Astyanax mexicanus: one gene and its partners. The protein of the gene in region 3 interacts with the protein of the main gene of each other region in a biochemical or structural test. Links are inferred from orthologs where the notes say so. Each region holds a gene or a part of one and is shown on either strand. Other genes may lie near its edges.

Region 1 (7,779 bases), on a different chromosome or scaffold from region 3:
ATGATGTGATTAAAGTAGTCTAGACCCGAATCTTCAAAACAAGCAAAAACGATTTAAAACAGCTAAGGCTGTGCACTTTCACACTTGAATCTTTTGCAGATCAGTAATGGCTGCAGCTCAAGAAGCACACCTGTAGACTGTCGAATTCATTAGAGCTGACAGGCTATTCTAAACACGACTCCTGGCACTCTGCAACAACAAACTCTACATGTAGACCCACAAAGATGCACAGCTGCAGGGCACAAGCCAAGGACATAAAAGACTTCCATATACAAACTACATGATTACACAGTCGTAAACACAGGAAATGTTCATTAGCTATTCTGCAAGTACTTACATTTACTAAAGCTTATGCTTAAAATTACAATCTGGTTAAATTAGCATTTAGTGGGCTATGATTTTAGTTATAGAAGCATTTAGGACTGGATCTAGCAGTTCTTTAATAGTACACATATTTACATAATAGAAAAGGGCAGCTGTTACTTTTTTTTTCTTTTAATTTTTTTATTTGCAGTGTTTTGAGAAAATATTTTTTTATTTAAAAATTTTAGTTCAAGACGAACTTTAGCTGATTTTTAGCTGGTTTTTAATGGTCTAAGCTGGACCTTGATAGTCATGTTTTTGGAAAAGAGGGTTATTAAGGTAAAAACATACTTTGCTGGTAAGCTAGCTGGTTAACGAAATTCTAACCAGCACAGTTTGTGCTGTATTTGATTTTGGTCATGCTTTGGTACCCTGGTCATGCTGGTCAGGCTGGTGGACCAGCTTCTTCATGTTAGTCATGTTTATAGACCAACTAAATCATCAAACTCAAAGAAAAAACATAGTCAAACAGCGTAGTGATGCTGGTCCATAATTTGATTTGAACAAAAAGTTCTGATTGGACCTGTACAAAGACCTTGAGCAATATATGTGCTCTATAAAGTATTAGTATACACACAGATTACAGGTATCAATAACAGTTCCTGAGGAGACCACACCTGTCTTCAGTCAAGCAGGTTATTTAAAAAATTATCTAAAGAGTTGGAACTTGCAGTGCTTGGGGACCTAAAACCATCATAATAACAGGATTAGGCATCACTGTTAAGCGCATGCTTTTTTAAGTAGTTGCACCAGGAGACAGAAAAGCATATTGTGAGAACGGAACAAAACTGCGCACTACCTGCGTTCGCAGTTCTGGGAATCCTCACGATAATAGGATTAACTTTAATGTTTGGTATGCATTTTCATCTCAATCAAAATCCAGACCTCCCCACTAATGCTCTTTTAACTTGATGTGACCAAATCAGATTCTCAAAGCAATGTTCTAAAACTGAGTAAAAACTTTCTTTAAGCAGTAGAGACAGTTACTTTAACAAAAGCAAAAATAAAATCCTTTTTAACACTCTTGATGTATATAAAGTTCATTACAGCTATGTGGATTTGACCATTTCTCTATTGCACACATGCTGGTACTGTACACGTCTTATCCATGCCAACTCAAACAGTGCCTCCTACTGGTAAACTAAAGCAACTGCACCTCAGAGGCACTGACAAGCACTAAACAAAGCCAGGTTATTGAGGCAAATACTTTTAATGTAACATGTCAGTATGGATTTCTGTGATGTCATGTGTCTTTACTTTGTCAAATTAACTATTCCCCTGGTGTGACCAATTAAACAATAAAAAAGACACTCCTGGAAATCTCCTGAAAAATGATTTCATCATTCATCAAGCGTTCCAGGATGAAACGATGAAACGCAGGATGGGATCCATGGAGACCAAACTGCAGGCTCATTCACTGATGCACCACACAGAGCTGGTATTCTTTCAGTCTTGCCGGTTTCCTTTCTCTTTTCAACGTAGCTCCGCTAGCTTAGAGCCCCATTCACGCCCAGTCAGCACCACCAGTGTGGCCCTTTCTCTGCTCATAATTGGTGAGCTCAGGCAGAAATATTCAAGTCCAGCACACCGCAACCAACCAGAACAGTGAGTGTGTGATGCCAAATGGCAATAGGCCAACAAGCACAAACAAAGAACCTCAACTTCAAAAGGCCATTTCTTCCTTCCATGAAATGACAAATTATTTCAATCTCTCTGAAAAACTGGGGCAATTAAATGAAATAATATTGAACATGTGCAAGCATGAATACCTAACTACTGTACATTTAGTTTACACGGCCAATTACAACAGAATTGTGATCATTGTTAACAAATTCTAAAGTTTCCTAATAGACCGTTCTCAGATTTCCACATTCATTAATGTGGAAGCACAAATAGTGGAGTTCAACAGCTTTGTGTCTGATCGTGTTGTAAACACATCAATAACTCAAGTTTAAAATGTTTAACTACACCAGGAAATCCTCATGTGTCATTTTTCACGAGGCAACATGTTATGAGAGTTAAACTAAACCAGGTTTAATGCAGGGCTGAGCGATGGGACATATTTATTCATACTGGTGATTAACCTGAAGATCAACATCGATTCATTGATGTAGGGTAGAGTGAGGTATGAAAAGGACCATTTAGTTAATTAGACAATAACTAAGAGAAAAGCAATTCAATAATTGCAACACAAGTTCAGAATGTGAGGTATTAAACATTAAAACCCCAAATAAAACTCAATTAGACAACAAAATATGGGGCACAATGAAAGTGTTCTTTTTAGCTCAGCCTGGGGTCAAGACAAATCTAAGTAAATGTGAGTTTACATGATTAAAATGACCTACAGTGTCCCAGATACAGGTGGTGTTTCAACTTATCCAGTGGCTCTTTTTATCCTACTCTCCCATCTGTGTCATACTGACAATTTTTCCAGAAAGTCTGTTTAAAGTCCTTAAACAAGACAGACATCTCAGCATTGTATTTAGTATGTATTTTTTATGGGTCAGACTCTGATACACTCCATTATCTGAAAGCAGCTGCCTTTACACTTAATGTTGTTGGGTAATTTACCTCAGCATGACTAAGATAAAACTTGGATGTGAGCACTCCTAGTCTTAATGAATGACTGTTAGAATGTCAAAGTGTAAAAAGATGACCATATTTAAAGTTTTTAAATATATTAAATATATTAAATGTACTTAAATAATAGTTTCATTATTACAGATATATACACATTTTGTTGACAGAAAACCTGCTACAGTGACTATGAGAAAGGTCTATTACGGGAAGGTTGTGGCACACTATTTGCCAGTAACAAAAAAATGTCGTTCTTGGACAAGCATGTTGTCAAAAGAATCAAAACCATATTTAGAGTAATTAGAGTTCTGTGTTTCCAAAATTAAACAACACATCTGGACTTTTATACAGTATTTTGTCTGTATGCAGTAGTGTATCCCCTGAATCCTCTCTAAGCAAAACACTCTCTGGAGCCTTTGTACAGAGCGTAGATTTTCACACTAGTCTGTGACATGCTGTAGGAATCTCTGATCATTAAAACTTGAATGAAAGCACGGACTACTTTAATGCATGCTTATGAAACCAGTCTGTTTCTCCTGAACTATTTACAAATTAAATATATTGTGCATTAAAAGTTTTGAACTTTTGAATCTGGGCAATTGTCCTTTATATTGTGTTAACTACGGTGGCCGAGAAAGCCCAGCGCAGTGCAAATTGAAAAGCGCTGCAAAAGCACAAAACACATCCATCAAAATTACAACACAGGCGCAGCAAATAGAAAAACGCGCTGCAAAAAGAAAAACGCGCTGCAAATAGAACCACAACACAACGGAAGTGAGTCACAACACAACGGAATTTTCCCGGGGGACCTTAAAAGATGCTGTACCAGCTGTATACAAAGGACAATAAGTGGCAAACAAGCTTCTGAAAAGTAAGTTATGTTTATTACCTGTGATTACCACGGTTGTGTGCATATTATTAAAAGTTCTGCTTCACAAAACGCCTTGTTTGCCACTTATTGTCCTTTGTACACATAGTGAAGTCCGAGACGTTACTGAAGACGCAGCTTAGCTGGTACAGTATCTTTTAAGGTCCCCCGGGAAAATTCCGTTGTGTTGTGACTCACTTCCGTTGTGTTGTGGTTCTATTTGCAGCGCGTTTTTCTAGTTGCAGCGCGTTTGTCTATTTGCTGCGCCTGTGTTGTAATTTTGATGGATGTGTTTTGTGCTTTTGCAGCGCTTTTCCATTTGCACTGCGTTGGGCTTTCTCGGCCACCGTAGTTAACATATCATTGTGTCTAAAAATCTTCTAAACTATAGCATTCAAAATGAATGCTGACTTCCACTGAAAATCAAGAAGGTATTTCCTTCTCCTGTAAAGCTGCTACTTGATTTGTTTTTTGTTTGACAGCAATGATATCCTTGCTTGAAGTCCCAAAGTCAAATGCTGTCAACAGACCATTTTATGTCAGTACTCAAGCATTCAAGACAATCACAAAATAATAATAAGCTAAGTCACTTACACACATTTCACAATTCCCACCTCTCCTAAGGCCCACTTCTCCTCACCGGGGGGAGGGTACTAATATTAACAGACTAATAAATGATAACCTAGATCCACTTAGAAACTCATTACAAAAATATCTCACACACTCCTGACATCACTTTCATGTATAAAGGCTTGTGTCACCACACTGGCATCATGTCCACCACCCTAATAAGCTGACTCAGAAACCAGCAGCAGCAGTCAGTTCATACTCTAGTGAGGAGAACAGGTGAACAAACATTACTCAGAAGTCACAGGAGAAGATCAGCATGAGCTTCTGCACGTGTAGATGCTGGCAAATAAGACTTCACAGTCCTGTGAGGAATTGCTTTGTTGTTTCCCAGATTGGATAGAGAAGATACTGCAGTGCTCAAGCAGCACTTCACACAGGAGGACCTGAAGAAGCAGCATGGCGTCTCTCAGTGTTCCTGGCCTCCATGGTGGCCGTCAACTGCAAAGGGTCTCGACCGCTCGACGCCCGAGTGGGATGGTCACCCCATATAAGCCTCGAAAGTCCAGAAAGAAGCTGCAGGTGATTATCTGTATTCTTTTTGTGGAATTGTTCGAGAGGTTCACCTTCTTTGGGATTGTTTGCAATATGATCCTCTTTTGCACCATCAAGCTGGGATATCACAATTACCAAGCTGCCACAGTCAACCTGTGTTTTGTTGGAGCCAGTACACTCACACCTGTTCTTGTGGGCTGGTTTGCAGAGACGTGTTTGGGGAGGACAAAAGTACTCTATCTTTGCGCTCTGCTCCATTTTATAGGTAAGTTGACACTGTTGTTATTAAGAAACAATGCAAAAAAATGTATGACTAAAATATGTAGAAAAAACTTACAATGTGATTCATGTATGTGTTGATTAAAATGTGTTTTAATAATTTGTTTAATGTGTGTTTGTTAAAATGCAGATTGTATCAGCATTTTTAAGGTCTGTACAATGCACACGGTTGTGGTAAATGTTGTTACATGAATCAGATGTTATATGGTCACGATGGAGAACATGTTTGGAGTGGTATATCAGATACCACAGCATGGGATTTGCTGAAGGCATGTAGACTCCTGTATGTCAATATATTCCAAGAGTCCAACACTGTCTTACAAGCCTTGAATGAATAACAATTCACATTACATTAAGTCCTGATTTTCTGTCCATAGGTACTGCCATGCTCCCTGTTGTTGCATTCCCCTTTGAGGATTTCTACATTGACACACACAATATTATTCACCGACTAGAGCCACGAGAGCAACAGCTTCTCTTCTACGTTGGGCTGCTAGCCGCTGCCCTGGGTATTGGGGGCTTCCGTGCTATTCTATGCCCGTTAAGTGCCTATTACCTTCAGGGTTATGACCAACACCAGATACTGTCCTTTTTTAATTGGTAAGACATTAAATCATTAACTATAGATAATTAAGAGCAAATCAAAATGCTTGTACATCTCTGGAAGGTTATGCTATTGATGTAAAACTGATGGTATTTATAACCACAGGCTCTACTGGCTTGTGAATCTCAATTCTACAGTTGTGTTCCTGGGGATCTCCTATATTCAGCAGTCTGTGGGTAAAAACCTGGGCTTTCTCATTCCCTTCACCTCTGTTCTATTGGCTCTTGTTGCGATACACATGGCACGCAACAATCTCATCTTTCATCCAAAGAAAGGTAATGGACTAACAAACACATACAGATAAACAGATATACAAATATACACAAATAAAATAAATGTGCTGTTTATATAATTCTGCATAGATCAAAACTTCTGCAATAAATTATATGCAATAGATGGTATTCATTGGAGTCCTGTTTCTGCCAGAACATGTCGTTTGGTCAGACTGAAACAGCCAAACCAGCTATGAAACAAGTGGTCATGTGTTTAAATTGAAGGCCGTTGGGCTCTAGAGCAACAGACCAATTAGAAACTAGAAATTAGGTTTCCTTACATTGTTATGTACATTGATTTCAACAAGTTTTTATATTTAATCACACAAGGGCTCTTTCCCATTTTGTGTCTTCACAGCATTTACAATGAACGCTAATGCTGCCACTCAGTATACTGCCACTGGGCATAATCACACAGACTCTCCCCAACTGTGATATCATATGTGTACCCTCTATATATAGATGACACTGAATTTCACATAACAGTATTTGATCATTGTGTCTTCTTCTCTTCCTTCATTCCATTGACCTTTCATGTGTGGGAAAACACACAGCCAGTTTGTTGCTGACCACACTGGGTGTGTTCCTAAACTCCTTAAAAATGTCCTGCCTCCATTATCGTCATTTGAGTGGAGACGTGAATAATTGGCTGGACCGTGCCAAGGAGAACAATGGAGGACGCTACAGTGAGACCAGTGTTGAAAATGTTAAGATCCTGGTTAAGCTTTTTCCTCTTTTTGGACTGCAGCTGCTCTACCGGGCTTGTATAACCCAAGTAAGTATATATGCGAAACAAAATTTTCTGTTAATGTTTGTTACACAATAAAAAGGTGTTTGTACGATTTGACCTAAACTTCCTATAATTGCACCTATAAAATACAAAATAAGTGGACAAAAGTACTAAAACCCCTGCTCCTGTCCAGGGAAATCTATTAGATTTTGGAGCATTGCTGTGAGGATTTGATTGCACTTATACCCCTCCAGTCCACTACTGGCATTAGGCATAGTGCCAATAGATTCACATTTAGCTGCTTTGGAAAAATTCCTATACTATTGGTAGCACTCAGGGACTAGACAAGCAGTTTATATATGTCCATTTGTACATTTGTGTCAGCAATAGCTGCAGAAGGGGTGTCCACAAACATTCAGACATATCGTTTCCACCACTTGTACATAAACTGATCTTATACATAATGTAATGATGAACATTTAATCTTCAATTATTATTATTATTATTATTATTATTATTATAATTCATATTATCTCTGTTTAGGTATTATCTCTGAGCGCAGATGTCCATTCCACAGTTGTATAACCAATAACATAATTTGCATCTTCACAGATTCCATCAGGATACTACCTCCAGACCATGCATTCAAATCTGAACTTCAATGGTTTCCTCCTTCCTATAGCAGCTATGAATGTGATCAGTATCCTGCCATTGCTAATTTTAGCACCACTACTGGAATTTTTTGGCACCTGTTATCAGTCTTTGAAGAAAACACCTCCTTCTCCAGCCAAATTCATAAGTATGCATGTCCAATGAATTATAAGTAAGTGTGACAGGTATGGAGTGTAGTAAGCTCTACTTTGTGACATCTTTTCTTGCAGCAGCGGGACATGCCTGTGCAGCTCTGTCTGCACTAGCTGCAGGGATTACTGAGATCCACAGGAAAGACTTCTCTCAGGTGGAG
Region 2 (7,712 bases), on a different chromosome or scaffold from region 3:
TTCCAGACTAAATTGGTTCGAAGTTGATGACTTCTGCAGAACGCATTTCCTTCTTTGAAGGTCTTACCTGCTAATTACTCAGTGCCAACAATACACTGTTAAATGAATTATGAAATTATTGCACCAGCAGTTTATGATGACATGAAGGGTGTGCTGAGGGCACGCCTGTGATGATCACACCTGGACTCATTGAAGGGTTCTGTATGTAAAAGAACCAAAATTGTTGTTCTGTACGTTTAAATAGTTGGAACTGAGTGAGAACAGTCAGTTGTTTTCATGTGACTGCTTATTTATCATCCGTAATTTCATTACAGATCTAGAGCATGTCAGCAACTGAGAGCAGGTCGAAATGATTCACTCAGACTGCTCTAAATGCCCAAACTCATGCACACAAACAGCATAAACTCCCAAACCATTTCTCTGATAATTCTAATAACGATGGCTCACATTTTTGCTATCAGAATTTTGTGCCTTTTGGCCCTCAAAGATGTAATTTTTTTATTATTATTATTAGTTTTTTTTACATATTTATAAGACTTCACACTTCACTGTTTATGGTAAACTTGTTATGTTTTGAAGATACATTTTGATTTTCTAATTACCGTGATATTTTACAACAATAGGGTGGACTGCATAAGCTCTACCTCAGCTAAATATACAGACAAAGGAAGAAATATTAAGTGAAATTAATATTATTAATTACTGAACATGCAACAAGGAAACAAAACAAGTTAATCCTAAACAGTCCGTTGCACAGTGTTTTATGAAATTTAAACAAATATGCTGCAGACATGAAAGGATTGTTATATCGATAATAACCGATACATTAATGTCAGTTCTGCATGATTGAAATATGTCATATAAACATAATGACTTGGCCTATATGTAACCACTCTAATGCACAGTTCATAATTTCGGTCTGAGGTCATGACTTCAAGTCTCCAAAATTTAAAAAGCCTAAAGTTAGACTGCTTTATTCATTACACAACCATGTCTGGTGTGTCATTGTCCTAATGGAACAGGCCTTGCTGATGGTTTGAGCTTAAGCTGAAGAAGGGAGGGGCAGTCCACCACAGAACATGATGGTTTCACCACCATGCCTAACAGTTTATATATTGTTCTTGGGGATGAATGCCTCACTCTCCAAATATAATTTTGGTCACTGTGGCCATTCCTTGTGTCATCTGACAATAAACCTTTCTGCTTGAAGTATTTTTTCTTGTCAATGTAGTTGAGCATAACATTACAGTTTTTGAAGCAGGGGCCTGAGTCTTGGATAGAAGCCTCTCAGTTTATGGTAATGTGTAAAATCTGCTTAACTGTATAGGGTGACACAGGTGTTCCAGCAGCTTCCAGTTCATGGTAGGCCTGTCCCTTGATGGTTCTTGTGTTGTTCCTGACCATCCAAACCAGTTTCCTCTCAGCTGGTGGATGCATCCTATTTAATTTTGGGGGTTTTATGCTCACAAGGACATGCTACATTTTAGTCTTTTGTTCTTGATTTAAAATGTGTGTAAGTCAATACAATAAATAGTGCATTTAGAGCTGTGTAAAATAATTACAAATGTTTAAAAAAGTCAGTGTTGGGGCAGTGTTGCATTACTTATTTAATGTGGGTTTAGTTACCCTTAGGTTTTAATAAACTGTTCCTAAGGGTGGTAAATCTTGACAAAACAGGACAAGGCATTCTGTTAATTGCAGGTAAATGATATATATTTGTCTGACTCCTGATCCTCCTGCAGTGGGTAACTGATACTTCCTCTGCTAGACGATGGCAGAAATGGTACAGTTAGGGTATGGTTTACCAGAAAAAATACTGACATTCCAAAAGTAATGGGACAGAAACTAGTATTGTGTCTAATGGAAGCTAAAGAATGGTTCACTGACCTGCAGATTATGCTTGCTTGGGGCCTCCTGTGTTGAATGGGGACATGATTTCTGACAGTTTCTTGTTTGTTTGCACAAACAATTTTGGCTTCCAGTCACGATCCTTACTACCCACAACGCCGTTCACCATGTGTGGTAATGCCTTTTGGCATGTCAGTGTAAATGTCAGCCAAACAGACATTCTTTACCAGACATTCTTCTCAGATCTGGTGTATTTTCATATGTGTTTTAATTTTTAAAAAAAGAGAACAAAAAACATTTTATAGTAATTAAAAGAAGTATATTTACATTTAGAAGTTAACATGCATTGAATTTTGTGCTGCCAATATTCACTTCTGCTTATACTGAAAAAAACAGTTCTTGCTTATACTGAAACTGTAAATACAACTGTTTCATTCCTGTTGTCTCAATCTATAGGGGGAGTCAATGATTCAGTTATTTAGGTATTGCTCACTAGTTTTGCAGTAAATCCTTTGTTCATTTGTTATTGTGCTGCGCTATGATTCATTAAAGGGAAATTCCACCAGGTTTAGTTAATTTGTTGAGGTGTGAACTTGAAAGTCATTCATAGTGGTTTAATATGAAATCCAAGGCGAAACTTATTGTTCAAATGTTGTGATTACAAATGTGGCATTAGTAGTGGGCTGTCAGTCTCACCCAGCATAACTACTGCACCAATAGCTTCAGCAATTAGTTTCCCTTTGTGTTTATCAGAACTAGTTTTGAGTAGTAAAAAATTCATATGAGCAGAATTTATCCAGAATTTCCTATCCTCTTCCTTTTCTTGTTGCTGCTTACCCTCTTTCTTATTTACCTTCAACCGTTAACTGTTTTTTCTCTTAATGTTTATGTGGTTTGATTACCTTGGCTTCCAGATCAAAGATATTGTACTATAGCTATTGTATTCAAATACAGAGTGAATTCAAAAACAGTAGTGAAATACAATAGTAATTCACAATGGCAAAGTTTAAAAGGCCCTTAGTCCTGAATAAGAAATGCTGTAGTTCATTTTGAAACTTTTGCCTTTGTCACTTGATGGGAGATATGTGAGATTACTGAGGTGTTTATCGCAGGAGTCCTGTTTGAGCAGCAGGAGAGACATGTTGCACTCTTCCTTTTCTTCCGATTGGAAACTATGTCAGGAGATATAGAGATATCCTTATTTACTTTTTATTGTTCCCACCTCTTGACAGGTGCAACTATAAGGACAGAATGTTATTAATGTTTATGTTTGATGGACAAGCTGGTCAGCTAGGTTGACCAGTGTGGTTGGGCTGGTCATGCTATTCATTCAAGTCATACTTAACTAGCTTGGCCATGCTGGTCAACTACTTTGGTTATACAATAGTTCACCAGCATTGAAAACCATTGGTCAACTAACCTGGTCATGATGGTCAACAAGCTTGATCAACCATTTTCGCCATACTGGTCAACCATCGTGGTCATGCAAGTCAACCACCGTGGCAATGCTGGTCAAGCAGTTTGGTCAACCAGGTAAGGCTAAGACTATTCAACCACCTTAGCCATTCTGGTCAAGCTGGTCAACCACACTGATCATGTTGCCAATCAGCTTATTTAGGCGGTTTGACCACCACGTTATGCTGATCAAATTTGTCAACAAGCTTTTCATTCTACTCAGCCAACCTGGTCATGCTGGTCAATGCTGATCATATTGATTATGCTAGTCAACCACATTTTTCATGCAGGTCAACCACATTGGTCATGTTGGTCCTGCTGGTCAACCAACTTGCCAGACTTATCTTCCTCCTTTGTCGAGGAAAGTTGTTAATGCTGGTCAACTATGGTGGCTTGCAAAAATATTCAGACCTCTTTAACTTTTTATCATTTTTGTCACTTTTTCACAACTGCAAACGTCACTTCTTATGTCTTTCCTTCAACAATAGTTTTCTTCTTGCCACTCTCCCGTAAAGGCCAGATTTGTGGAGTACACGACTTATAGTTGTCTTGTTGACAGATTCTCCCAGCTCAGCTGTGGATTTCTGCAGCTCCTCCAGAGTGACTACAGGTTTTTTGTCTGCTTCTCAGACCAGTGCTCTCCTTGCTTGATCTGTCAGATTGGGTGGACGACCATGTCTTGGTGGGACTGCAGTTGTAGTATACTTCTCCATTTTTAAATGATGGACAGGTGTATTTATACTGAGAAAAGATTACACACAGTTATTAAATAATTAAAGCTACGTTCACATTACAAGCTACATTGCTCAAATACGATTTTTTGCTTAGATTGGATTTGGCGGTTCATTGTAACAAATGTAATTGACCCGTATTTGTGTGTAATGTGAACGAATCTATTTCTGAAACGCCTCACATGCGCACATTAATACATGTATAAAGGTAGCCTTCTTCCCAAACAACAATAAATATCATATTTGAGAGACGACTCGTAGCTTTACTAAGGAAGTAAATGTGTTAGCAGTTTATATGTGGAGCATCTTTTGCTCAATTGGAGAGCAAACAGCTGGTTTGAAGTACATGCTCAGGTCAAGCAGGGGGAAAAAGGCCAGGCGGCTTGCTTTTGCTGTTTTTTAGCATTTCTGTCCCACTTCACAATTATGTGCTACTTTGTGTTGCTCTCTCATTTAACATCTCAGTAAAATACATTAAATACGTTGGTTTTAAGGTGACAAAATATAAAAAATAAAGGAGTATAAATACTTTTGCAAGCCACTGTAGCGTGGTCAGGTTGATCACGCTAATAGATAAACCACCAAACTCAAACGACCTGTACTGGAAAAGAGCTAAACCGGTCAGTCAGTATAAGGAAATCCATGTGTCGGTTAATGTCGGTGTTGATGATGTCTGTATGTGGGGAATGAGTGCAGGGCGCTTCCTGCACTGAGTGTGAGTTAGGTACAGTGGTGTGAATATGTGGTGACTGTGGGCTCTGAATGACCGAGTCTCGCGCAGATCTCCTCCTCCGCCTCCGCGCGCCTGTTTGTGTGTTTGGATATCGTGTCTCCTCGCCGCGCCGCACGTGAGCTGATTGTGTTTAAAAGGCAGAGCGCGCGAGAGCGGCGTGCCCACAGGGGAGCTCGCGCAGTGCAGCGCGGACAGAGTGCGGTGCTGCTCGCGCGCGGATCACGGGGGGGCTCGCGACGTCCACGCGCACACACCAAGTACACGGACAGCGCTGTGAGACGGTGTGGGGAAGGGGGGGTTTCTTAACGGGGAGAAATACGGAGAACCCCTTACCCCTTAAGTGTATGAGTGTGAGTGTGTGTGGAGGACAGCAGCCCTATTGAAGGGACAGCAGATGTGAGCGGAGAGCTGCTTCCCGCGCCCGGGCTCGGCGAGCATGAACAAGTCACCTGTGGATGAGGCCAGTTTCCTCTCCAGATACTTCTTCTGGTAAGGAGCTGCTAGAATATTCCACGCACTGAATATAAACTCATTTACAAAAGGTGAAGTGAAGACATACTGAGAGAAAGAGGCTATAGCTGCTCTCGCAGTATCATATAGGGTTTATATAGATATAAAGCTCTGGAAGAAATTAAAGAGACCACTTCAGTTTCACCTCAAAATCTCTTATTTTGCTATTCATAGGTACATGTTTGCGTAACATGAACATTGTTGTTTTATTCTATAAACTACGGACAATGTTTCCCCCAAATTCCAAATAAAACAATTGTCATTTAGAGAATTTATTTGCAGAAAATAAGAATTGGCTGAAATAAAAAAGATGCAGAGCTTTCAGACCTCAAATAATGCAAAAAGTATTTGGTGGAATAACCCTGATTTTTAATTACAATTTTTATGCATCTTGGCACGTTCTCCTCCACCACTCGTCTTACACACTGCTTTTGGATAACGTAATGCCACTCCTGGAGCAAAAAATCTAGCAGTTCAGCTTGGTTTGATGGATCGTGATCATCCATTTTCCTTTTCAATTTGCTTAAATCAAAGAAACTCACTATTTAAGCGGTCTCTTATTTTTTTCTAGAGCTGTATATATATTTATAATAAAATGACAATCAAATATATGACAAATATTTTATTTAACTAAATTTTAACTATTTTAGTAATAAATTAAGCATCAAAGTCTTCAGCCACTCACAGAAAGCAGAACAGAGCCTCAGCAACTCTCCAGACTCGCTTTTCAGCTCAATATCTTAAGATAAAAGTAGTGCTACTTCAGTCAAACAGTGTTTGCTTAAAATATACTTTTCTAAAAATACAAAATAAACGAAAATAGTAACTAATTTAGCTAGCTCACATAAATCGCTAGATAACTTAAAGCATCTTTAGCTAACCACAGATTCCACACTATGCCTCTGTTTAAAATAATAATAATAATATGTTAATTACTAAAATGTTAATTACTTAAGATGTAGCTAAAGAAAATATTTTAAGATTAGATATTCGATTGTATTATAATTTTATTATAATAAATATTGATTATATTTAATTTGATTTTTTTAAATAAAATTTGATCCCTGGCAGATTTAGATTTAAGAGTACATTTGCAGCAATATAATGAGTATAAAATAAATAATCAAACTGTGTACATTTGCTTATTACCAGTATTGGAAAAAATGCATCTAACCATTTTTAGAGTGTAAAAACCAAACAATAAATCAACAGATTGATCTATAATATAAGTAACCATTAGCTGGAAATAAACCTCACATTTGTATTTTTTTAAACTGATATTTTTTAAGATTTAGCCATAGAAAAGCATTTGTTTGAACACCCCCTATATCTACCACGTTTTAACAAATGAAGCCATGTAAGAACAAATTCATTTCAAAATTGCAGCTTTAGGAGAAGGAAAAATAAGATTTTTTAGTGGAAGACTACATGTAAATAGGTTTTGTTCCAATTCAGAAAAAATTCAGAAAATTAAAATATAAAAATGCCAGTAACACCACAAAATAAAAATAGAAATTGTGTGACAACAGTCAAATACATTGTTATGCAAGAACCTTGTATCTTGTATCTGAAAGTTATAGTTAAGATATGTTTGAGTTTTTTCTGTTTTGGAGATCAACACAACAACAACAACAATATAAGGAAAACACTGAACTGAACAGCTAATTACTGCATGTGTCTCTTAGCTACAGTGTTACTAAAAGCAGTGTTACACTTTAAACACTTTTGCAGGTTTGTAGCATCACTTTTATAGACACTTTATAGACACACTGACATCGAAACACCCAAAAACAATTTGACTGACGTTTATTTGTTCTGACCTTTTGCAGGTGGACAAACCCTATTATGCGAAAGGGTTTCAGGGAGAAACTGAGGCCAACAGATGTGTATCAAACGGCATCACAAGACACAGCTGATGTACTTGCAGAACGGCTTGAGAAGTTTGTGTCTCCTACTCATCCTTGCATGCTCATAATGAATGAGATTATAAGTTTGCTGCTGTGGAGATAAGATATTGTTTTATTGCTTGATGCCAGGCTCATAGTCTTCTATTGTTTTATTGTTTAATGTTAGTTATCCCCAATTTCCCCCAGTACTCCTTCATTCAGTGATGAACAGAGAGTGACTCTGTTAACATTAAACATGAAATTTTATTTCATAACACAACCCTATTTACAGCCACAGGATGTGTTGTCCCTGCTCCTGTTGCAGCTTCCAGAGGTTTCAAAGGTCCTGTTACTTAAGCTGGCCTAAACACCGTCACACCTTTGAGTCAGAGTGTTAGATGTTTTGTGTTGTAAGTAAATGCTGCCTTGCTCCTTCCAGTAAAAGCCCTAACATGCCATGTTTCACACCACCCACTATGCATTTTCTTGGGTTGGGGTGCCAGTGCCCCTTTAACAGGCATCAAACACGACCTTTTAAAGTGCCAGGCC
Region 3 (8,196 bases):
GAGGAAGAGAGAGTGTGGACGAGAGAGAGAGCGCAAGAGGGAGAGAAAGAGCATGCGTGTGTATGAGAGAGAGAGGGGGAGAGAAAGAGAGAGAGAGGGAGAGAAATAAAGAGTGTGTGTAACAGAGAGAGTGTGAGAAAGAAAGAGAGTGTGTTTGTGTAAGAGAGAGTGTGAAAGATAGAGAGTGAGAGAGAGAAAGTGAAAAAGAGAGAGAGATTATTTTTCTGTCATCAGCGCTCTGTTGGTTCTGAGAGAGACGATGAAGCAGTGAGGATGGGACTTGAGGAATGAGTGTGAGTATGCGAGTGTGCATGTGTGTGTGTTTGTGTGTGTGAGTATGTGACTGTGTGTGCATGAGTATGTTAGTGTGTGTGTGTGTGAGCATGTGTGTACGAGTGTTTGAGTAAGCAAGTATGCGAGTGTGTGCATGAGTATGTGAGTGTGTGTAAGTGTGTGAGTATGTGCATGAGCATTTGAGTGTGTGAGTGTGCGAGTATGCAAGGGTGTGCATGAGTGTGTGTGAGTGTGTGAGTATGTGAGTGTGTGTGTGCATGTATGTAAATGCGCGTGTGTGTATGATTGTGCGAGGGTGTGTGTGAGTATGCGAGTGTGTGCATGAGTATGTATGTGCAAATGTATGCATATCTTTCTTGTATGGAGAGATATTAGTGCAAAATTAAAAAGCAAACACTATCGTGGAAAAACTACAATCTGCAAAATGCATTCTGTATAACATACAGAATAAATGCCAAACTGAAATGTAAAACCACTATTTCATTACACTTCACTGCATCTGATCTTTATTAAAAAATCTGTTCTTAAAACAATACACAAGAATTTACATTTTCAAAACCAAATGCTGAATTGTTTTAGAATTGCACACAAAACTTTTACAATGCTCAACTGCATGTTATTCCACTGTGTGGCGCTGTGACTGTTCGTAAGAAAATCACAATGCACAGGATTGCATTTCGTCTAGGAGCAGCGCAGAATCTGTGCCTAAATGAAATGTAATCGCTGTCCAATCAGAAACCACTACTAAACTTGGGCGCTCACTCTGGACCAATTCTACCAAAGCCCTGGAGAAAGCACACACAGGTTTGGAAAAAACCCAGTGTAAAAAAATGCCCCAAGTTTGAAAACTGAGCCTGTGTTAAAATCTACTAAACTTTGAACACAGTTCTTTCTCATTAGCATTTTATGGTTATAAGCACAAGGGTTCACATAATTTTTCCACAAACACTATAACATGTTTATGGATGTTCTTAATAAAGAAATAAATGTTTATATGTTTTGAGGCACATTATATTTCTTAATACTCTTGACTGAGATCAAGGTAAGATCACATTTTATGACAAATTTATGCAAAAAAAACATGAAATTCCAAAGAGTTCGCAAAGTTTTTTTTTGCCAATGTACTTACAGAGAACACATTTCTGCATATTCCATTTACAACCCCTGTTTTTTTTACATTTCTGGGAAAAATAAAGTAAGCATAAAAAAGTGGTGAAAATTTCTGTATTTTTTTCAATATTTTAAATTCAGTGATAGATTTATTGAATAATTGCGTTGTATGGTCAGCCCTTCATAAGTTGCAGTAGTAAAAAAAAAAAAAAGACAAATAATGTATTACTTGGTGATAAGTATGTACTAGATAGACTAGATAGTTGAATGTCCTTTAGGTACTTTATTATTATTAATAATAATATAATACCGTATACTGGCCATGGTCCTGCTAATGCTGGTTGAGTTCTAGGCATATTTTGGTCGTTCATTAGAACTGGCTCATCAATACTTGGCATTATGTGTCAAGTGGGCCAAATGAAATAAGTTAATGTGGGTCAGATTTAGCACAGGTTGGTTTTCCAGGTCTTACTTCTAAAAAAAGTAGGAAGTTATGTTCTGAGTTGAGGAGAAAATCACTGGCTCCCTATAGTGGACACTGAGAGACGATGCAGTCCTTACACAACAGCCACGGCTGGCTTTCCTGAAAATATGATTTAACATAATGTGGAGCCTCCACAATAATAATAATAATAATAATAATAATAATAATAATAATTCTATATTTTAATAGATTAAGACCTTTTGGCCTCAGGGTCTCAGGCTCAGCAGTATAAATCCTCTAGCCCACACTAGAGGAGTTCATGAGTGAATAAATCCCTTTAATATTACTTGGATTTCTGCATAAATTGGTCATTAAATGTGTTTAATGTGTTTAATATCAGAAATGAGCAGCGTATTAAAGTAAGTTTCATCAATATTAAGTTAAATTAAAGGTTACAAATCTAGAAAAGATATTAAATAATAAATTAAGCACTTAGTATCATTTATACCTTTCAGTTCTTTGGAATAAAGGTGTTCAGCAGTCTCTTCAAGGTTACTGCAGCATATTCAGCTGCTGCTCAATAATTAAAGGGTATTGAAAAGACAGCCCACTCAGGCATGTTATTGCTTTAGTGAGTGCGGTGTGTGTGTGTGTGTGTGTGTAAAGCACCTCTCTGAGCTGCTAAGGATAAGAATTTGTGGATCACTCTGTTCAATTGATTCTGAAATGTGAAGTTTCAATTATTTGAGACTGAAAATGTATTATGATGTCAGTAAGTCTCTCACTGAGGGCAACGCTGTATTTAAAGGTTAGACAGTATTAAACAGTATTGAAGTGTGTTGAGTGTTGGTGAATGCAGATTAATATACACTGAACAAAAATATAAATGTAACATTTTGGTTGAACTCAAATATCTACTTTTCCTCTGTACACAAAATACGCTGTAATTTTGCTCATAATTGGGTCTAAATCTGTGTTATAAGTGAGCACTTCTCTCACTTTTGCTGAGATAAACCATCCACCAATCACAGGTGTGGCATATTAAGATGCACAGTGATTATTACACCTGTGTAATAATCCCTGTGTCTAATCAGCATCTTGATATGCCACACCTGTGACTGGAGGATGGTTTATCTCAGCAAAGAAGACACAGATTTAGACCCAATTGTGGTCACAATTTGAGAAAATAAAGGTCTTTTGTGCACAGAGGAAAAGTCTTAGATCCTTTGAGTTTAGCTTATGAAAAATGGGAGCAAAAGCAAAAGTGTTTATATTTTTGTTTAGTGTATTTGAAAAAAAAAGGCAGGTTTATTCAGTATTTTCAGTTTATGTTTTTCTGCTGTAGAGATGCATAAAAAAACCCAGTCAACACTCTGGTTTAGTTGTAAATAAATTGTTTTATTCCAGAACCAAAACTTGTGTCTCAATGTTCTCAAGCTTGCCTTGGAGAGAGAGGGTTTCCTGACTTGTGTCATCGTCTTCTCTCCCTAGTTGTGGAGCTAAGAAAAAATATTTACCCCTTTACTTTTTTATTATGTTTTTGCTTTTTTACTATACTTACATTAATACGATTATCAAACAAATTTAATATCAGAGAAATAAACCTGAGTAAACACAGAAAAGATGTTTTTAAATTATGAAATACACCTTAAAACAAGATCCCAGTCTGCTTCTCTTGCAGCAAAAAAAACAGTTCAATCTTTACTGCTTTCTTATTTTTTTGCTTTTTTCATACTTACATTATTCCGATTATCAATCAAATTTAATATCAGAGAAATAAACCTGAGTAAATATAAAAAAGCTGTTTTTAAATGATGAAATGCACCTTAGAACAAGATCCCAGTCTGCTCCTCTTTCAGCCCAAAGACCAGTTCAATCTTTACTGCTTTCTTCTTGTTTTTGCTTTTTTTTTTTATCATACTTACATTATTCCGATTATCAAACAAACTTTAATATCAGAGAAGTATAACCTGAGTAAATACAAAACAGCTGTTTTTAAATGATGAAATGCACCTTAGAACAAGATCCCAGTCTGCGTCTCTTTCAGCACAAAGACCAGTCGAAAACTTTGCCTTCAGATCCACATTGAGCAGTTTGTGGTCTGTGTTTACTCTGCAAAAGAAAGACTGTAGACACATAGTGTTAAATCTCATCCTTGAATGTTGGAACATTATTCCCACCGAGAGAAACGTTAGCTGAGCTGTTCTCAGCATGATATCAGGATTAAACCACAGCTTGTCTGCTAATTTAAGGATCTGTGGGTTTGAGAGGACCAAAAGATCAAAAGCATGATGTTTAAAAGGTTCAGCCTGAAGGTTCAGCACAGCATTCTGCTTCTGTTCTGGCCAATTAGTTCTTCATACTTTGTGTTAAAAAATAAAAAGCTTGATATGAAATATGATAGGTATTTGTGAGCAGAGAATTAATTAAATAAATCAACTATCCAACAATAAAAATGCCTCTGTTATCTTAAAAGAGAATGTAAAAAATCTGAAATGTAAAAAGAGAATAATAAGATTTTATTAATTCTAACTGGTTTAAAATAAAATTTATTTAAACGCAAAATTTGAATGTTAAATTGTGTGTATTTGAGCAGGATAAACTGTTTTTAATTCTGTTGATTTGTGAAGAAACATGTAATCCTGTAATGTAATACACATGAAAATTCTGCAGCCCAAATTATTCTGCTGAAAAGTGCCTTTGTTTTTCAGATGAATAAGTGAAAAGACTGAATAATTTATAACAAACACCAGCGTTTTTGATGACGCAAATAAATTGCTATTTTTCTGAGCTGGATTACTCGTTGATACTTGATGACAGGTCAATGGCAGACATTTTTTGTTTCTCACTTCAGTTCAGAACATTTAAAGCACTTGAATAGTTCATTTAAATGAACAGAATTAGAAATAGTACCGTGTCACTTCTGCCCTCAGCCTCCATAGACTCTCATCCTAACTCAAATCCTTCCTAAAGTTTATGATTGCTGCAGTTTACAGGGTTGATCAGGATTATTCACAGCAACAGTGGGAAGAGGCGTTCAGCCACGAGATGTGGTTAAATAACTCACTCTTTAAGTAAACCTTTGGCCTGTCAAAGTCCGGTACAGACTTACACACAGATAGATAGATAACATCTGTAAGAAGAGGCAAGAACCTCCTTTCAGTACGGACTTCCACAGGACCTGAACAGGTGAGTAGCATCTACCTGACCTGCAGAGAATTATTAGAATCTATAACTGTGATACCTTCAAAAGTGCATCAGTTTGTTATTTCAGTTTTTAATTTTCAATCTCGATATCATTATCATGCTCTATTTGTTCTAATTGCTGACTTTAAATTTTAGTATGCTGTGAATAATTCCCCCCTTTTATATTATTGTCCTGATCATATTAAGCTCCAAAAAATACATATAGTTTATACACAGTCAAAGCTGGTATCTGTAGAATTGCTGTAATTAATGAAAGCTGCATCTAGCAATCAGGCAAATATGTTCAGAGGTCAGTATCAAATAATTTTTTTGTATTGGATTTTTATTAATTAGAAAACAAATCGAATTATAGGCTCTATAATCATAAATTGCTATGATTATAGAATACATCACCATGCAATCTGAAAATATCATAACTGATCGAGAGCTATAGTAACGTTGGTTAGTTATGGGTGAGGTATTACGTAATCTCTGATGGATTTTAAAATGATGATAATGCATAGGGCATATCATTAGTGTTAAATGAAAAACAAGTATCTCCATTTTTGTTGATTTTTAGGTTATACAGAATTTGAAAACCGAACTTTTCCTTAAAATGCATCAATTTTTTGATAAAGATCCTGAAAGAAATTCTGCAACATTACCTGAAATAAACTTTTTTTTTTATTTCCATTGAAAGTTAAGGTTTTGGGATCTCTCTTTCCCTTAAAGTTGCTTTTTTGGAAATGCATGTTTTTTTATTGGACAGCATTGATATGTCCAGTGCTAAATTCATATTTCTTGTATTATAGCTTAGTGTAATAAACTATATTAAATATTTTGTCATTCTTCAAGAAAACAATGTATTTTGATCGAAGTATTCTGAAAATGTAAAATTTTTGTGACAGTTATAATATAAAAATCTAGATGACATTTCACACATGCCTCTTCTCTCTTTCTTCACGCTTGGTAAAAATGGCTATTGACATTTTTTTTATTGCGGAGGCAAAGTGCATTCGCTCCAGCAAAGAACGCACTTTACCATCGCACCTCCAGTTTAACAATTAACGATCCGAGAGCAAGAGTACATTCTGTGAATGTCAGCATATTATCTTCTTATTAAACCTGCATGTCTTCAGTCTGGATAGGGATTTTATGGCTCTGGATAATTGCTATGATTTGCACATCTCAAATTACTCACAGTTATCTCTGTACAGCCTCAGGAAGAGATTCATCAAAAATTATATTTAACTGTATATCACTGTATATACGTTACGTATACAAGCCTGTCTGGTCCACCTGTCCATGTTTTTACTGTAATTGCTATAAATTGTACTATCAGTAATGTGGGCCTAATTTAGTACGATATTCCACTGATTTTAGTGGTTGTAAAGTGACTGGTTGAGTAATTTATGGATATTATAATAATGTCACATAATCCAAAGTACATTTAAAGTACATTTAATCTTTAGTGACTTTGGTTGGAGAATAAATATATTATCTATATTTCTTTGCAGTTTTATTTCTCTGCATTAAGTCTAGGTGTTTTTCTTTATTTCCCTTTATTTAATACAGTCAGGTTATAAGTTATGGGAGGGTTATAAGAATGTAAGCATTCTTTTAAAGTATAAAAAAATTAAACCTTAAATTATATGCTGCACCTTGACAGTATCTTTTCTTAGGATTTTTATTTGTATGTTTTTGGACATTGCATGAATGCATAATTATAATATATAAAGATACAAATTAATAATAATAAAATAATGAAGTCCATTCTTTCATTATTGTGAATGTTTATTTATGAATCTATACTTTTCCGCAGTGTTACGTTAAAGAGATTTAAATGGTGATGTAAGAACACCATTCACCACACCCCGCTGATAAACTTACACTTTTATAGCAGCTTGTGTTGTAAAACAATTTGGCAGGTATGGAATGATAATGCTGGTTATCATTAAGATTAGATATAAACTGTAAAAGGGCACCGAAAAGGTGTGCAATCACTTGCTGGAGGACTTAAAGGGAAGGTCTGGCACTTTTTTTTATAGTTTTTACACTTTTTCATGTAATTATTTATATAAAGGTAAAATCAGTTAGATATCTGTGTGAAAAATCATGTGAAATTAAAATTGTGAATTACGAGAAAAAATACTTTGAAAGATAATTTGAATTATTTACAGTGATGGTCAGAAAAAAAACATTCTCTAAAAAGCTGTTAATGAATCTAATTAATGCCCAAAAAAACTATTTTACACTAGTTGGATTTATTAATAGCTTTTTAGAGAATGTCTTTTTTTCTCATGACCATCACTGTAAACAATTCAAATTAGACAAAAATGGTTACAGAAATGTTGTGAAAAAAAAAACAAAAACAAAACAGAGACATTGTTTTAGAACAGTTTTAAAACTTTTGGCCTTTTTAGCAATTTTTCTTAGCAATTTTTAATAGGCATACATGTTAATTTTATTAACATGAAATTTACGGTATAAATATATAATAAATAAAAATAAAAAAAAGAAGTGCAGGTGTACTGGTGACAATTAAAAAGGTAATTTTTGTGTTTTAGGGCTCACAACCCCTGGTTCTTTTCACCACCATCTAAAAGACGTCTGACTCAGTAAGTTTCTCCAGTATTGTCTAAATCATCTAGTTATGCAGATTTTTTTTTACATTTTATATTTTTAACATAATTTTTTTCCCACCAATTTATCAGAATTATTAGTTAAATTTAGTTTAATTTCTATTTTAACTATATACTTTTTCTCCATTAGGAAACATGTCTGTGCCCAAACCTCGAGTGATCTCTCTCAATAAGCGTGAGGGTCAAAGCTATGGCTTCTTCCTGAGGATTGAACAGGGTGAGGATGGTCATCTGATCCGGGCCCTGGAGATGGGTGGTCCTGCAGAGCTGGCAGGGCTGAAGGATGGAGATCGCATCGTCAGAGTCAACGGCACTTATGTTGACAACCTGGAACACAGCCAGGTATAAAGTTAATATCAAACTATAAACAAGCTTTTAAATTGGAGTAGTTTTATATTAACTTTAGATTTACAGAATGTGATGAAGGGTAACGAGAGGTCACAGCTGTGATTGCTTTTAAACCTTATCAAAGAGATTAGCGGAGCAGCTTTTTGATAAAGATGTTAAAGATGATGAAGATGATATGTGTTTTTTTCATGG

The links.
Region 1: the proteins of pdzk1 (region 3) and slc15a5 interact in a test that uses a peptide from one of them, tested with the Homo sapiens proteins (2 studies listed by IntAct, with this or other methods). The link is inferred for Astyanax mexicanus from reciprocal best matches to the Homo sapiens genes PDZK1 and SLC15A5.
Region 2: the proteins of pdzk1 (region 3) and cftr form a complex in vitro, tested with the Homo sapiens proteins (2 studies listed by BioGRID and IntAct, with this or other methods). The link is inferred for Astyanax mexicanus from reciprocal best matches to the Homo sapiens genes PDZK1 and CFTR.

The regions. Positions count from the first base shown.
Region 1 is NC_064409.1:54,428,789-54,436,567, reverse strand, and holds the start of slc15a5 (solute carrier family 15 member 5), read left to right. Parts: upstream 1-4,656; 5' UTR 4,657-4,834; coding exon 4,835-5,195; intron 5,196-5,586; coding exon 5,587-5,809; intron 5,810-5,918; coding exon 5,919-6,088; intron 6,089-6,639; coding exon 6,640-6,860; intron 6,861-7,427; coding exon 7,428-7,614; intron 7,615-7,696; coding exon 7,697-7,779. UniProt on the Homo sapiens protein: Proton oligopeptide cotransporter.
Region 2 is NC_064416.1:24,819,683-24,827,394, forward strand, and holds the start of cftr (cystic fibrosis transmembrane conductance regulator), read left to right. Parts: upstream 1-4,589; 5' UTR 4,590-5,203; coding exon 5,204-5,256; intron 5,257-7,106; coding exon 7,107-7,217; intron 7,218-7,712. UniProt on the Homo sapiens protein: Epithelial ion channel that plays an important role in the regulation of epithelial ion and water transport and fluid homeostasis. Mediates the transport of chloride ions across the cell membrane.
Region 3 is NC_064418.1:9,927,190-9,935,385, forward strand, and holds the start of pdzk1 (Na(+)/H(+) exchange regulatory cofactor NHE-RF3), read left to right. Parts: upstream 1-4,956; 5' UTR 4,957-5,017; intron 5,018-7,581; 5' UTR 7,582-7,632; intron 7,633-7,786; 5' UTR 7,787-7,791; coding exon 7,792-7,998; intron 7,999-8,196. UniProt on the Homo sapiens protein: A scaffold protein that connects plasma membrane proteins and regulatory components, regulating their surface expression in epithelial cells apical domains.